3 linked regions of the Bombyx mori genome follow. The protein of the gene in region 2 purifies or fractionates together with the protein of the main gene of each other region. This does not show direct contact. Links are inferred from orthologs where the notes say so. Each region holds a gene or a part of one and is shown on either strand. Other genes may lie near its edges. The genes, in order: protein NDUFAF4 homolog; RPII140-upstream gene protein; evolutionarily conserved signaling intermediate in Toll pathway, mitochondrial.

What was found.
Region 1: the proteins of RPII140-upstream gene protein (region 2) and protein NDUFAF4 homolog purify together in Homo sapiens (affinity purification with mass spectrometry; 3 studies listed by BioGRID and IntAct, with this or other methods). This does not show direct contact. The link is inferred for Bombyx mori from reciprocal best matches to the Homo sapiens genes TIMMDC1 and NDUFAF4.
Region 3: the proteins of RPII140-upstream gene protein (region 2) and evolutionarily conserved signaling intermediate in Toll pathway, mitochondrial purify together in Homo sapiens (affinity purification with mass spectrometry; 3 studies listed by BioGRID and IntAct, counting the BioPlex papers as one, with this or other methods). This does not show direct contact. The link is inferred for Bombyx mori from reciprocal best matches to the Homo sapiens genes TIMMDC1 and ECSIT.

The regions. Positions count from the first base shown.
Region 1 is NC_085126.1:4,812,800-4,817,852, forward strand, and holds protein NDUFAF4 homolog, read left to right. Parts: upstream 1-2,244; 5' UTR 2,245-2,544; coding exon 2,545-3,192; 3' UTR 3,193-4,212; downstream 4,213-5,053. UniProt on the Homo sapiens protein: Involved in the assembly of mitochondrial NADH:ubiquinone oxidoreductase complex (complex I). May be involved in cell proliferation and survival of hormone-dependent tumor cells. May be a regulator of breast tumor cell invasion.
Region 2 is NC_085128.1:11,905,620-11,910,952, reverse strand, and holds the start of RPII140-upstream gene protein, read left to right. Parts: upstream 1-2,124; 5' UTR 2,125-2,211; coding exon 2,212-2,360; intron 2,361-2,508; coding exon 2,509-2,674; intron 2,675-3,200; coding exon 3,201-3,289; intron 3,290-4,206; coding exon 4,207-4,340; intron 4,341-4,412; coding exon 4,413-4,521; intron 4,522-5,333.
Region 3 is NC_085123.1:8,907,126-8,912,610, forward strand, and holds evolutionarily conserved signaling intermediate in Toll pathway, mitochondrial, read left to right. Parts: upstream 1-1,790; 5' UTR 1,791-1,997; coding exon 1,998-2,382; intron 2,383-2,713; coding exon 2,714-2,940; intron 2,941-3,497; coding exon 3,498-3,705; intron 3,706-3,946; coding exon 3,947-4,069; intron 4,070-4,409; coding exon 4,410-4,579; 3' UTR 4,580-4,631; downstream 4,632-5,485. Other genes in the region: uncharacterized protein LOC101736860, read right to left, coding at 257-332; TM2 domain-containing protein CG10795, read right to left, coding at 4,894-5,016, 5,133-5,298.

The sequences.
Region 1 (5,053 bases), on a different chromosome or scaffold from region 2:
TATTTATTTAATTTTGAAAAATCTGTTATGTTTTGATGTTCCAATTGGTTAAAAGACTTGTTTTTTGATATCTTCAATCTTTGACGTAACGTGCCGCCAATTTTCTAGAAAAAAAGTGTCGACTTACAATAATAATTAAATTGCACTTCTATATTCAAAGAATTGCATCAACTATCGCATATTTTACGCACGGTTCAATTAATGGAAGAAAGGTCATTATTATGTAAAAAAAATATGTACATTGTTTTCGTTATCATTTTTCTTTTCACTTATAAAAACCTAAAAACACAAAAATTGAATATGAAAACATAATAATCAAGGAAAGCAATCAACAAAGGCAGGCGTTCATACCGCACGCACTCAGAACATTAGCATTGAATGAATCAAGGAATTTTAAAGCTCCGATTCACAAGAATAGGATACGTTAGGTATTAGAATTTATTTAAAAAAATCTGTAATAAAAATTTAAGAGAGATTGATTTTAATTTCTGATATATTTACTTAACTATCTGGACTATATAAATTATACGTCTGTGACCAGTATTTTTCTACGTCTAGATAATTGCGACGAAGAAGACGAGATATTTCTAACGTCGTGCGATTTAACAGTTGCTTCTGAAATTCCATTGACTCAAATGAAGGGTTGTATTATAAAAAGTAATATCATAATAGAAGACGAAAACGATAATGGCCATTTAGATAAATGGAAAGATTTTTGGAAAAACTTTCTGTGTTGCAAGCCTTGTATTAAAATTTGCAATGATAGCTTATGGAAGTTGTCGGTGCGTTACGCGAAGTGTTTCCCCAACAATTATCAATTAAACAACTGCTGCAATTTTGTAGACACGGTTGGTGTTTTATTAGACTATTACTATATTCAAGGTAGTGTTAATCTATATTTAAAGTTCTATGAAATGCACTTAATATCATATTTTTTTAAAAATAAATATCTATCCATCTCATTTCATCGTGAAAATGTTGGGACAACGAACAAAATTACTTTGTTAATTTTAGATATTAACAAGACTGTCAAGAAAGAACAACTCGAGGGGCGAATAAAATCAGCTAAACCTATTTCATCGATAAATAATATAAAAAATAAAGGGTAATCACATTTCTGAACTTATATTTAATGAACTGTGGGGTTAGTAGGGTACTGTGTCTATTAAACCGTAGGTCACATGGATTTGTTACAGTGATTTCACCAGTGATATTATACCAAAAAGTGATTTAGAATCTGTCTCTACGAGGTCTCCTCGTCCTCAATCGCGAACTTCGAGCGCTCGTTCTAATTCTACGATTCAGCCAAATGTAAAAAGTAAAGTAAGTATTTTCGACCCTGGGCACAGTTTCGCAAATTTCCGTCTTTTAATTAACTGTTTTAATTAAAGGAATCTAACATAAAATCAACCTATCGTATTTCTTCAAACGAAATGTATCCTGTTCACATGGTGAAAAATGTACACGACGCTAGGGTAAGAAAGGTTTTTTAGTAATTATTCTGCCTGTACATTATGTTGGTCAATCAATTGATTTCTATGTTGCTTAATAGATACATACATAATTAAGGTAGATTATCAATGTTTCTGTGATTTTCAGAATTTTTTGATGCGGAGTAGTATATTTAATGATCACCGAGGAAGACAGTTGAGTTCAACAGTCACAGTGACACCGGGGTGCACCATACGAATACCAACGAATACAGCTCCTAGCTACGCAGCTCACATGACACCGTCGTTTTTTAATGCAGGTACGATTTTCAATGTTATTAGTATGTAGTATAATTTCATTGCCAATGTACATAATAATATTAGAAACACTTTTTAACTACATAAGCGCCACCTGTCGTATATTTTTGGTACTTTGACAAAAATGTTACTGGAGTGCCAAAAATAAATAAAAATTAAACCTAATCAAGGAAGAGATACGCGAATGCTAGTAACATTTAACAAATAAACAAACCTGTTTTTTTTCTTCATAGATTATAGGTAGGATGATAGAATCCGTCAAATTATTTTTTTTTGTAAACTTGCAGTAAATTTCAATTTACAGCTTCTAACACGACACAAAAGGGAAATTTAACACAGAACAGACGTAGGCTCGGACGTAGCCCCAGTCCATCACCTACTCGTGTATTAAGTAAACAAACACGAGCTACGAATACGCCTCCTTCACCTGCCGAGAAGTCCGTTGAGAAGGGATCATCGAGGCTCGCGTTAAAAGAGGCTCTATCAAGACTCAAATGTTAGTACATTTAATAAATACGATTCAATGTATGTATGTAGATAACGGTCTTTAGGTACGTAAGTCATAACACGTGTTCAATATAAGCACTTAAGAGGTGCTGGTGCTTAATAGTTATTTAAAAAAAGAACTGATTGACAGTTACGGTACTTGTCAAAGACATTTTTACATGTCAAAATGCTGCCTAACCTCTATGCGATTGTATTTGTGATGAAATAACAAGTAATATTTTAATTAAAATGATATTTTTATGAAAACATAAAACTTTAGAGATTATTAAATGAACTAAAGCCATCTGAGATGGGTGCTTTAGTAGCGAAGGCATTAAGACCGGTCAAAGCTTTTAACATCGAGAACAGAGCTCATCGTGTGATTTCAAAAGAAAAACCTACACCGGCCCCCAGATATCCAGGAAATATTGAAGATTTGAAACGAACTTTAGAAGCTGACCCGAATATTGACGAAAAATTAGATAAAAAAGATCCTGCGCTTGACGATAGACTGAAGGATGTTTATGTAACATCTTACGGTCGGTCTGAAGATGACGTTACGCGGGAACTACGAAAAAAACAAAGCGAGGTAAGGCCTTTGCCTCAGGACCGGAAATTAGTCGAAGATTTTGAATTTGGATTTAGAGAACCGGAAAAAATTAAATATGGACGCGCTACACTTAGACAAGTAGTGACCTTTATTTCCGCTCATCAAATAGACAGCAAAGAAGCTAGTCCAGATAAAATAGCATTTGAATATAAACTGAAGCTGGAAGACGTGGAAAGCATATTAAAATATTTTAAAACTTTTGAAATTTATATACCTGAAACCAAGAAAACTCCAGCAATGTTTGCAGGACCAGCTCATTTGAAAAAAGAAATTATCGAATCACAAAAGAAGGCAATTGAAGAAAACAGTATGTTGGACGCTAAAACATTAAGACAAAAGAAAAGTTAGGTGTTTTAATTCATTCTTATAAAGTAGTTAATGTTACTCAGTTGAAAAGCTTAAATTGATTAATAAATATTATTATTTCTTGTAAGATGAACAAAAATATTTGAAATAAGTTTGTTTGAAACATTCCGCTTGGAACATTTGCATGTAATAAATATAAATAAAACTTCAAAGTTCTATCTCAGTTTGTTCTGAAAATAAAATTGCAATTACTTACATTGACTTTTTTCAGATACATTTCAATATTTATTTTTAGTTACATTTTGAAATGAAAACCTTTGCATTTAATATCAAATAAAACCTAGTTGAAATTTTATAAAAGATAAAAGTAAAAATGCAAGGAAACAAAAATTAAAACCAGTGGACGCCTATAGGCTGAAAGATAGATAGAAAGATATAAATAGGAAACAATATTAATGTGCTAAGCTAAGCAAAAACATTTATGTTCTTTTCATTAAATTGAACCCAAAAATTTTTTAAAAGGTGATTGCCTAATGCCACTTGAGACTATAGACCTTACAAGTGACTTGATTTTCAACATACTACATGCCACAGCTCAAAAGCATAATTTCAATGTTAATTTTTGGTTGAAATCATTTTGAGAGGTGAAAGAAAGGCTATTTAGTTTAAGCAACATTTAGGCTCATATTGAGTTATATACATATTCGGAATCAGGGGATTTTTCTCCATCTATTCACAAACAATTGTTTTTAATTGAACTTCATTTAGTTTATGCCATTCAAATAGCTGAAGAAGTTTTTTGTTATGACATTTTTTGTTAAAATTTTAAACTTTAAATGGTTCTCTAGTAAAGATAGCTACAAAGATGTTGTTTAAGCCTAATTGCTTTTCATCCCTCGATTTATTATCATTGTGCCAGGTAAACTACCTTTTCAAAGATGGCAACTATTGTTATTCAACCAAATTTAATTTCTTATACCATAAAATTGTTGTTAATTTATTTGTTAAATCTCTAGTTGTATGTAGACAGTGATAAATAAAATGAATTTCTTAGCATAAAAAGATTTTTATTCAAATTGACTCATTCAAAATGCTCACTTATCCCATAGTAAATCTAAGTAAGACAATAAGTGGCTCATGAATATTAAAGGTTTTATTTAGTATATAGGCAGTAGTTTATCAGTAAGCAATAGAGATGTTTATTTTTATATTATTTTACTTAAAAGCTTTATCATAAGTAGCACACGATTAGAATCTGTTAATTTTTTGTCTGGAGTTTTGCCCGTGTGGACTACATTTTATGCTAAGGTTGTTTTACCTTGAAATGGTAAGAGTAGGTCAGCTTAGAAACAATGCAGAAAAATATAGTACCATCTATTTTAAATCATTGTACTTGAAACCAAAAGTTTATCTTCACAGTGGGTGTTTCCTTCTTAGTAAGTCCCAGCAAAAGTCAAGAGAGAATGGAGCGTGCAGTAGAAAATTGATTGGGTCGTTCTTCAGCAGACCTGAGTGTTTTGTCGCGATTGTACTAAAAAAATTGTTTCCCGTGTTTTTGTGCAAGTATTTCCATATTGAATTATTTTTTTCGTCGTTTCCCAACCTATTCGTTGGTAGCCTAGGGGGCTATTCCAGCTACGCCCGGACCGGTGAGCTCACGGGCTCAACCTAAGAGAATTAGCTAATACTAGCCCTAGCAAGAGCAGTGCTTCGCAGAATCTCCACCGGATCGGAAACGCGACCCACTGAGAAGATCCGGCGAGAAACTCAGTGGGCTGTGTCTATGGGTTAATTCACTCGTCGAACTTTTTGTCATAATCGAAAAGTTCGACGAGAACGGTGACCGGTGCTTGAGAGGCCTAAAAGCTCCGAGAGTGAATCCGGAGATCCGACAAGACATACC
Region 2 (5,333 bases):
TTCATAATTCGTTGTAAACTTCATATCGAGCCATTAAAATATATATCTTCTTTAAATTTTTCGAAGCCTTTCTACGGTACGGAGTTTCACTGCTTGTTATGTAGTTATTATGATTACATCTTTTTATTACAGATTGAACGAAACTATCCATTCCGGTAACTTTCGTCTTCCCTGATCTTTTCTTACCCGGAGTCCGAAACACGGCGAGCAAGCCAGAGCCTTTAGCTTCGTTAATAATGCCCTACTCACTGATGTTTCTGTTGCTTCCGAAGTCTGTTTTACTTTTTCCATATCATTCTTCCCCTGTTTTATAATGAAGCAATATACGTCGTACACAATTTTTCTACCCTTTCTTTTGAATACTACACAAGTTTGTCGCGGCATAGTGTATTTTTATAAAAAAATCAACAAACAGTCAACAAATAGCAATGGCAACAAAGTCAACAAGCAATTATAACAAAATATAACATAACGATGAATAACGATAGACTTTTCACCGTACGCAAGCGTACTTTTGGGAGCAAGCGGAACGAGGGCGCGGTGCGGGGCGCAAGGTTCGTCTGATCTACCAATAACGCGCTCGATACGGTTTCCTCTGCCGTCGCGCCTCACCCCCACCACCAAAGTGATCTAAAATTCGGTTCTGCGCAGTCAAAGTCATTTGCTCAAAAAGTTTGCCGGTTACTATACATACCTAATTGTCCAAACTATTTCTAGATACAAAAATGTCCAAAGAAAATTAAAATATGATTTTAGAATTACAGGTAGATACTTACCAAAATGCTGAATTGCGGTAAAGGCATTTTTTTAAAGTATTCGTATAATTGCAAAAAGCGAATAAAATATATTGAGGGTCACTATCACAATGATTTATTAAAATCCTCTTCTTTCTATTATTTTTAAGCATGACAATCGGCTTTTTGGGATGCCATTGCTGCCAGCGATGAGTTTATGAAAATCTTCAATTATTAAATACATATTCAGTTATTTTTTGGTCAACTTTGACCTAACTTTGACTTTGAGCTAAAAGTTGACCAGAGGCTATCCACCAAATGTCTATATAGAGTGCTCCAATACTTTGGTCATATAGCAAGAAAACCCTCTGACAACCTGGAGAGACTCATAGTGACGGGTAAAGTGGATGGAAGACGATCTAGAGGTCGTAGCCGAAAAAGATGGAGTGACCAAGTGTCTGAGTATCTGGACATGAGACTGAGCCACGCACTTCACTGTGCCACTGACCGACATAAGTGGCTAAAAATTACAAAAAAAGGTCACAGGCGGGCGCATCACGATGCTCAGAAATGAGCGATCGACTGAAGGAGGATGAGGATTCAGTTATAGGAAAAATGATATAGCAATGAATGAGGTGAAGTTGATTTATTTGAGTCCGTAATCAATTGGGATGAAATTACATTTTCATGTTCATGAGATGTGTTTAAATAGTCTCAGTAAACTGGTGATTATTTATTGAAAATTCAGCGGACCTTCCGGAAGATTTCGAGAAACCATGCCTAATGGCTTTGTTTTAGTCATGACGTAGCTCTGCGGTCCCGTTCAATCGAAGTCGTTTCAGAATTAGACTCAGACTACCGTCCCGTCGTTATAAAGCTTGGTCGCACTTCCGATTAGGTTCCCGTCACGAAAACTGTGGTGGATTGGCACACACTGGGCTTCAGCCTAACTGAATCTGATCCACCATCGCTCCTGTTCAGCCCAGACTCTACCCCATCCCCTCAGGATACCGCTGAAGCCATAGACATCGTAACGGCGCACATCACCTCGACATTAGATAGATCATCGAAGCAAATTGTAGCGGAGGACTTGCTTCAATTGCCCGACGATGTTAGGGACTCCTTAGGGCCAAGAACGCCTCGATCCGCACCTACGATAGGTAGACTACCTACCGAAGTCCGAGATGCCAGATGGTCTAATTTTTTAGAATATACTCTCAAATCGGATATCATTTCATTTAATTTCATCCCAGTTGATTAATGTATCAAATTACTTATCTTCATTTCATTTCACTTCATATTATTTATTATTTTTCATAAAAATAAGAACATAAATTAAAATAATACGTGACTTAAAGGTCTTAGTTACCAAGTCATAAAATCCCTTTAAAAAAAGATCATTAAGTTAAAAGTTCAGATTGGTTAGTGATGTCTGTCTTGTCTGTTGTTATCAAAAAGGGAAAGGGATCTTGTCGAAATGATCCGAACGGTGATCAGGTTGTCTCCAAGTTTTGTCTTACCAATTTTTCGTGAAAGAAATGAAAATGATTACGATGTCCTTAACAGACCTCTGCCTGGAGGCCCTCAGACAGGCTGGGATCGGGTTAAAGCCATGTATAAAAAAAAGTAAGAAAATTGCGTTTTTCATCAATATTATTTAATAATCATACTCGCTAAGATTTGATGTTTAAAATTACTAATAAAATAATACTATGCATTTATGGTATTTTCGTGCCTGAATCCATGGGATTTATGAAATAAACAAATATTTTAGCGAATTCGACGAAGTTTCTCCTGAACTGCATACAGTTGTGCAATCCACATTGTGCGGTGCATTTGTTGGTGTTTGTTTCGGAGGATTTGTCTCATCTCGAGAAGCCTACTTGTATTTTATTGAAAATAATCAAGCAACCGCTTATAAAACAGTAGGCGATGCAAAGGTATTGTAAAAGGTTTGCATAATACATGATTGTTTTTAAAATAGAGATGCTGACTCAAATGTTTTGTATCCTTACCTATTATTCTTTATTTAATTTATTAATACATTCATAATTGGAATGTTCAGGAAGAAAAAGATGCTCCCAAGCACTCAACCGCTTAATTTTAACCCACTTTTGAATTATTTTTTAATTCACAATAGATGTAACTTTAACTATATTAGGTGTTATGCGTAAGTGGTAACATGTAACAAGTGGCCAGCGAGGAAACAAACTCATTAACTTTTTTAACATTTCTAAGAATATCTACTAGAATTTGTACAAGGTTCTTCAATATCTTTTCTCCATATCCTGCTTAATACAGCTACAGATCACCTGGTAGAATGCTGTCACAGGATTACAGTATGCTTGTCTGCCTAGAAAGCTGTAAATTATTATTAGTTTATATTGTATATAAATTATTACTATTTACATCCTTAATTTTTTATCTTTTATAATGATTTTATAAAACCTTGGTGATGGATTACAGAAAAAACTGCAAGACTATGTAACAATTGGATTTGCCAAAGGTGCCTACAAGTGGGGATGGAAATTAAGTATTTTTACAGGAATGTTCAGGTAAATTTATTAAGACTAATATTAGCAATACATATATACATATAAATACAGTACATGTAAACACAAGGAATCAAATCTCTGACATGCTTAGCATATATTCTATTTGTTACTTAATCCTATTTTACATTTAATTTTATTGTCAACACTAGTCTTGCAGATTTCATCATTAGTTCAAAATGTGTTAAAGTGGAAGTATATTTATCATTAGTATTACATATACTTTTAGTATTAGTTATAAGTAATGAAGATATCTAAAACAAAGATCCAATTTTATTTCTTGAAAATTTTGAATGATAAAAAAAATGTACTCATTACTAATTCATATCATTTTCATGCCGAAGTAATTATAGGGTACATATAACTTGTGCCATTTTTGAAACAATTTCTTCTACAACTCATTTAGTGGTTTTTTTAAATAACACTACATTTTAACAATTGTTTGTCAAATTTTATCACAGTGTTTGATCATGATAATAATCGAACATTGCAATATGTGAAAATGTGATAGTCATATAATTATAACCTAATGGTTGAATAAATTAAACTGATTTTACTGTATTTACATTTTTTTATTGCTTAGATGGCGGGACGAGCTCATGGGCCACCTAATGTTAAGTGGTTAACGGAGCACATAGACATCTACAAAATAAATATTGCCAACCGCCTTGAAACATGAGTTCTGAAGTCTCATTTTTAAGAATACACCAGCTACACCACCCTTTAGACCAAAATGCAATACTGCTTCACGGTAGAAATAGGTAGGGTGGTGGTACCTACCCGTGCGTACTCTCAAGACGTCCTACCACTGGTAATTAAACAAATTATAATTTTGCGGATTTGATTTTTATTACATAATGTTATTCCTGCACTGTGGAAGTCAATCGTGAATGTTTGTTAAGTTCCTTGAAACATTTCAGTTTGATAGCCACAACAATATCTGCATATCGTGGAGATACAACACTCATCGAGTACACAACTGCAGGTGCACTTACCGGAGCATTGTATAAAGCAAATTTAGGATTGACTGCTATGATTGTTGGTGGTTCCCTAGGTAACGATTAGAAACAGCCAGACATTTTTTACTACTAGTTACCATATTATTTATATATTTCTTTATTTTTAGGAGCTGTATTAAGTACAATAGGTGGACTTTTAATTATTGGAATATTAAAAATTACTGGTGTTCGTATGAGCGATATACGACAAGCATTATACAAAATCAAAGAATCTAGGTAAGTTTCAAGTACAGCTTCAGAGAAAATGTCAAAATTAGTCAGTACTAGCTATGCCATAGATTGTTTTTACACTACCATGCGTAAGAGGTGTGCATCTCTGGTAAGCAAAGTGAGGGCCAGCTCCAACAGTATCCTGAGCATGATCGCAAGCAGGCTGGACTGTGTATACATGGGTCGCTGTGGTGCCATCTCCCATGGGATATTACGACAGTAATTCATTGTGATGTAAATATAACTACTAACATAGGTCTAAGTCTTATTAACAATTTATATGAGTCATGGTTACTTGCAATAAAAACATTATTATTATTATTAATAATATGCCTTGCAGTTTCATTCATGTTAAATTTGTAATTTAGAAATTATGGAACAGATTGCATTGTCCTAGAATAAAGACTTTTTCAGTGCCATTTGCTTATTTAAAACTCATTCCATTTTTATATTCATAGTCATATTTTCATATTTACCATAGCAGATTATCTAGATATATCTGGCATTAGCAGGGTCATGTCATTTACCATGATATAAAGTATCCCATGTGGTAATCCAGGATGTATTTTTAATACAATCTCTGCAATATTTGATACAAATCTATTCAGTTAGGTTATTTGTAATATTACGAGTAGTATAGTTAAAATCAAAATAATATAATAAGTTCTAGGAATCACAAGCATATGGTCAGGTCGGCTATATGCAAATTATTGTTTTTAAACTGGTTTATGATTATTTATTTATTTGAGCTATTCTTAGCGGATGCTAATAAAAAACGTTAAGCACTTGTTCAAAATCATAATGAGTCACTCATAATC
Region 3 (5,485 bases), on a different chromosome or scaffold from region 2:
TTAACAAAAGACTACTAGGCGCTTTAAAATTATTTAATACTGAACGGACTAACCTTGAATGAAGATAAAAGTTCCACGTTTACACACTCGTACAATGTAAATAATTCGTTTCAACCTACAATAGTTCTGGCACTATGGGGATGGCATGGTTTATGTTCAAAATTATTCCCTCCAAAATTAAATTAAGAAATTTCGAATACATAAATTACTTAAAGTAAAATTAAATATAATGTGAGTACTAAAAAATTAAACTTACCGGAAAAAGTAAAAGTCACCATAACGAGAAAAACACTAATAAAATAATTTGCACTTTTACACATCTTGGGCAACATATCAGGCTGTATGTTAAAGTTTTGTAATTATTTTATTTTGTAATATTATATTTACACTAAATTATTTAATTAAGTGTAACTAGCAGCAATTATATGTATTTTCGACCATACATTCGTTTTTCATTTACTTTTAGTGTTTTAAGAGTTTTCGTAAAATACGAAGAAGTTTTTAAAACAGAGTAACATACACATACGTTGGAAGTTTACAGCCGACTGATGTGCTGGATATTGGTACTTTTGAAATGACTGTGAACAACATAGAGCATAAACGCAGACTGCTCTATGATAGAAATTCAGACTACAACTTAGTATAGAGGTCATCGTGTGACTTTCTTAATATTAAAATGATGTGACTTTAATAATATATGATGTTATTTTGGCATAGTGTCTGAATCTGTAAAGAAGCGCATTATTGTATTGCATAGAATTGTTGAACTGTGAACTTTAATTCCTGTTTAGAAATGAATTAAATTTTTTGTTACTCTGTATTTTTTAATTTTTAACTCTAAAATTTCAAACTACCATATTTTAAATTATATTTGACTTTGCTTTTATTTCATTATATTTCTGTTACTCATCTTCAAATTGTACTTTCACTGTAATTTGTATAATTTTAAAGTCTATTTTAACAAAATTTAATTTTAAATTTGTAAAAGAGAGATTGCTGGTTCTCCTGAGAGTTCTTTTAATACTGAATAGTCATTTCTGAGTTACACCGCAGTCTTTATTTTAAGATATGAAATATGATGAAGGTCAATTTTCGCCAAATTTTCAATTTCAGTTGTTGTAGACTGAACGACAACAGAGACAACACACACATTCATTAAAAGACAATAATCTAAATATACAATATTATCACTACTTTTATTCAAAGTGCTTAGAGCCTAAGCACTTAGAAAACAATTTGTCTGTCCCTCTAGGATTGAGCATATTCATGAGCGATAGAAAGTGGGTTGTATGTTCGTATGCCGACAATAGAAAAATACATGTTTAAAGATTTCATGCTCTGAAAAATGATATTGATAGAAATGAAACAAAATTTTAATTTCCTCTCTAATTTAAAATAAAAAAGTACATGACAGAACTTGTAACCAGACTTGGTATTTTGTTCGACCTTAATGTTCCTTAAATGTGTACTCTATGACTACATTTGCGTAAGTCTATAGACTACATTTTACCAACCTGAGCTCTTGAACAAGCCGTTGGACGTAGCTTCTTGAGATCCAGAAAGTCCACCTAACAAATTCTCAGTAGAGAACCACCATATTACTGAGATTATATTTGATCCCATATCATCTCATCTCATTTCATTTCATTTGATTCATGTCGATTGATTATTGTTGCAAATTAATCAACTTCATTTCACTTCATACTACCATTTCTATATAAAAAATGTATATAGATATATATTTAAGATTAGGCTGTACGGTATTAAACTTTTGCCTTTCCAGTTGAAAAAATAAAACTACTAGTTACTACTACTGATCAAATGTCAAGTTTTATGAAAAATATGTAATTGAAAATCAAATTGAAATTTTAAATTATCTTCTTTCTTGAGAACGATTTGAAACTGTGAATAGCTGTTATTTTAAGTTACAAATCTATAATTAAACTGAATAATTAATGAAGGCCTGCAAGTTTAACAATAACCAATAAGCGCTACCAATGGCTACAAAAATTTTAAGACATATTTTGCGACTTCCGTCTTCTCATTTTATGTATAGAAGATGGGAAAGCTCAAACACAAAAGTGGCTGTGTATGATCCTTTTGCTAATAAGCCAAAGAAAAATAAAGATACATATTTGGAAGCAATCAAAATGTTTGAAAATCAGGACAACAGAAGAAGAGGACACGTCGAATTTATCTATGCCGCCTTAGCTAGAATGAAGGAATTTGGTGTGCATAAAGACTTACAAGCGTACAAAGCATTAGTAGACGTACTGCCCAAAGGCAAATTTATACCGTCAAATATATTTCAGGCTGAATTCATGCACTATCCGAAGCAACAGCAGTGCGCTGTGGATCTCCTTGAACAGATGGAAGATAATAGTATGGATATCAGATTGTTATGTTAAACATTAATACTTATAATCTCTTTGGTAGTAATTTGTATTGGGCTTCAATAAAAAAAAAAAAATTAAAAAAAAAAATTTGAATACAATTTGTAAATGTAATAAATCTGTTGTTTTATCCTGTGTCACTTGAAAGGACAATTATACAATTAAAAGTACACAAACAAGCTAAATAGCCACTTGAACAGCCAATATTAACAATCATTACAAATAACACTATAATACACAAGCCAAGTTTAAAATTTACGTTATTCCATAAAATTGCTAAGGTATGACTACTGATAATTATTTTTTTATTAAATTCACAGAAGTAATGCCAGACAGTGAACTAGAGCAAATGTTATTGAACGTTTTTGGAAAAAGAGGCATACCTCTTAGAAAGTTTTGGCGCATGCTGTACTGGATGCCTAAATTCAAGAATCTAAGTCCATGGTATTTACCAGATGAATTGCCGAATGACACATTAGAACTTGCCAAAATGGCTATTCATCGGATAACTTCCGTTGATCCTACTATGAAAATTGAAATTTGGCAGGTGAAAAATTCTTTCATTTCTCTAGTTATGATTACAGTACCAACTGTATAGTGAAAGATGTTTATAAGTCAAAATTTAGTGATTTGTAATTAAGAGCCCATTTAATTAAAGGAGGGTGTATATTTGCTTTATGCATTACAGTTTGACAAGAAGTAAATTCGTTAATCAGTAAGAATGAAATATGCTCACTTTTCCCAGGATAAAGTATTTCTTTTGTCATTTTCTGGTCTTTAAACTACTAGATGGCTTGTACATCTGTTGGCATATAAAATTAAACCATTAAAACCTTTCATTTTTATATATCATTCATAAATTATTGAGAATGTAATACATAAAGTATACGTTTTAAATGGAATCTGGAATATAGACTTAGACGTCATGTCTCAAGATGAGTGATTTCAAACACATTATGATGTTTATGCATACCGGTGTCCACTTAATGCCAGAAGGGCCATGGTCAATCTCATTTGTGCGATGAATGCAAAATACAAAGTTTCCATCATTTCTCACACTTATTAGTTGATATAAACATACAATACAATTCTAATTTTTGTCAGACAGAAGAAATTGAAGCTTGCATAGATAAAACATGGATAGTAAGTGCCCAAAGTGAAACACAAAAGATATTACTCTCAGAGCAACCCCCTGATGAGCCCCTTGTTGTAAGAGGACCTTACGAAGTGTATTTAAAGGAGCAAGTTGTCACTTACTTTACATTATTGGGTAAAGTAAGACCAGAACATAAAGATGACTTTGACCAAGATGGTATGAATTTATTACCAAATTTTTATTGCAACTTAGTAGTACTAACTACTAGTAACTAGTAGTCCAGTTTATTATCTGGCCTAAGAAGTAAAAGAGCCAGTACTTTTTTTAGCTTTAGCATTCTGATTCCCTAATGCATATCATTTTTGATGTGTTCAAAACAGTTGGTGCTATGCTGACACCATTAAAAATGAAACTATTAACATATTTCTTATTTTAATATCACTGGTTAAATTTTTAGATGTATCAAATTTAAAGAAACCTTCCGGAATACCTGGTTTTATTGGTCAAACTACATTACCCGTAGTTAAATGTACTGTACATGAGCAGGATGATGGTACAATAGTAGCTGTATGTGCCACAGGTAATGAATTATGAACATAATATATATTACATGTTTCGCCTTTCTGAATTAGAATTACCAAGTTATTATTATCAAAGTAAATCCAATAACACCGATATAGTATTCTCCCGAAACCTCATTTGCAAAAGGATGGAACAATTATGTCATAGAAGTTCAGTAAACGCTAGTGGGAAGTTAATTATGTTATGTTGCAAACAACATTTCTGGAAATATACTGTCAAAGAATGGCAGTTCTGGGTAGTATAGATGAATACTGAAATAACAACTACAATTTTATTATGCTTAGGAACTTCTTTTTCAATAAACATAATTACATATTAAGAAGCTATTTTTGTTACAGGTTCATCATCACGAGATTCTTTGTTATCGTGGATAAGATTATTAGAGAAATATGACAATTCAGTTCTATCAAATCTACCAGTGATTTTCACTCTTACTGCACCTAGCAATGACGTTGTAGTACAGGAAACACAGCCAGCTGCCGAAGATGTAAAAAGAGTGCAAAATTAAATTGAATTTGTTTTGTTATAATAATAATAATATAGTAAAGACCTTTGTATAATTTATATTTATTTCTCCGTTTCGAATAACATTCACATAAAATTTAACAGTATTCAAAACACTCAGTAGATAATGTGTGACACTTTCTGAATATTAAATGTATGTACAAGTCAAATTCAATAGTAACATAGAGATGTAACTCTTTAAAATCTATACAAATGTCTTAATCACAATTTATGTAATGTCCAACATCACATAAATACAAAAACACATTAAGTCCACTCATAATCCTCATCAACTTCGAAGGATATTGTTCCCCACTGTCAGGTGATGTTATGCCAATCTGGTTGTGGTAGTAGGTAAGTCTCATTATCACTCCGAACAACAGTAACTCCAGCACCATAATATGGAATGACATAAGCAGACCCATCTGAAGGTCCCACAACCTATGAAAAGAACATTTTTATATATTTTAATCAACATAATGTCATTGTTATGTTAGAATATTTCTGTTAATTAGTTATGCCGATGTTTGTTCTATTAAATTGTTTCATGTACATACCTGTGCAGCTATTAATATAATGTCTAATAACTGTCCGAGGAACATGAATCCCAGAGTACATAGTTTTGCTAAACCCATTCCAGGATATCCCAAATAAAAGCGATCCAATCCAAACATTCCCAGGAATACAGATAGTAATAAAGCAATTTCTAGAGAATATCCATTCCTGAAATCATATATTTTATAGAATGATATATCACTGGACATTGTGCATACACTACCTATGACCTTTTTGAAAACTCTTAAATATCTATAGATAATTCACAGTACTAGAAAAAAGTTGAGTTGACTTGTCAAATTACTTTTGTATCATTTTTTCATAAAAGGCTAATTCATTTTTAAATAAGAATCTG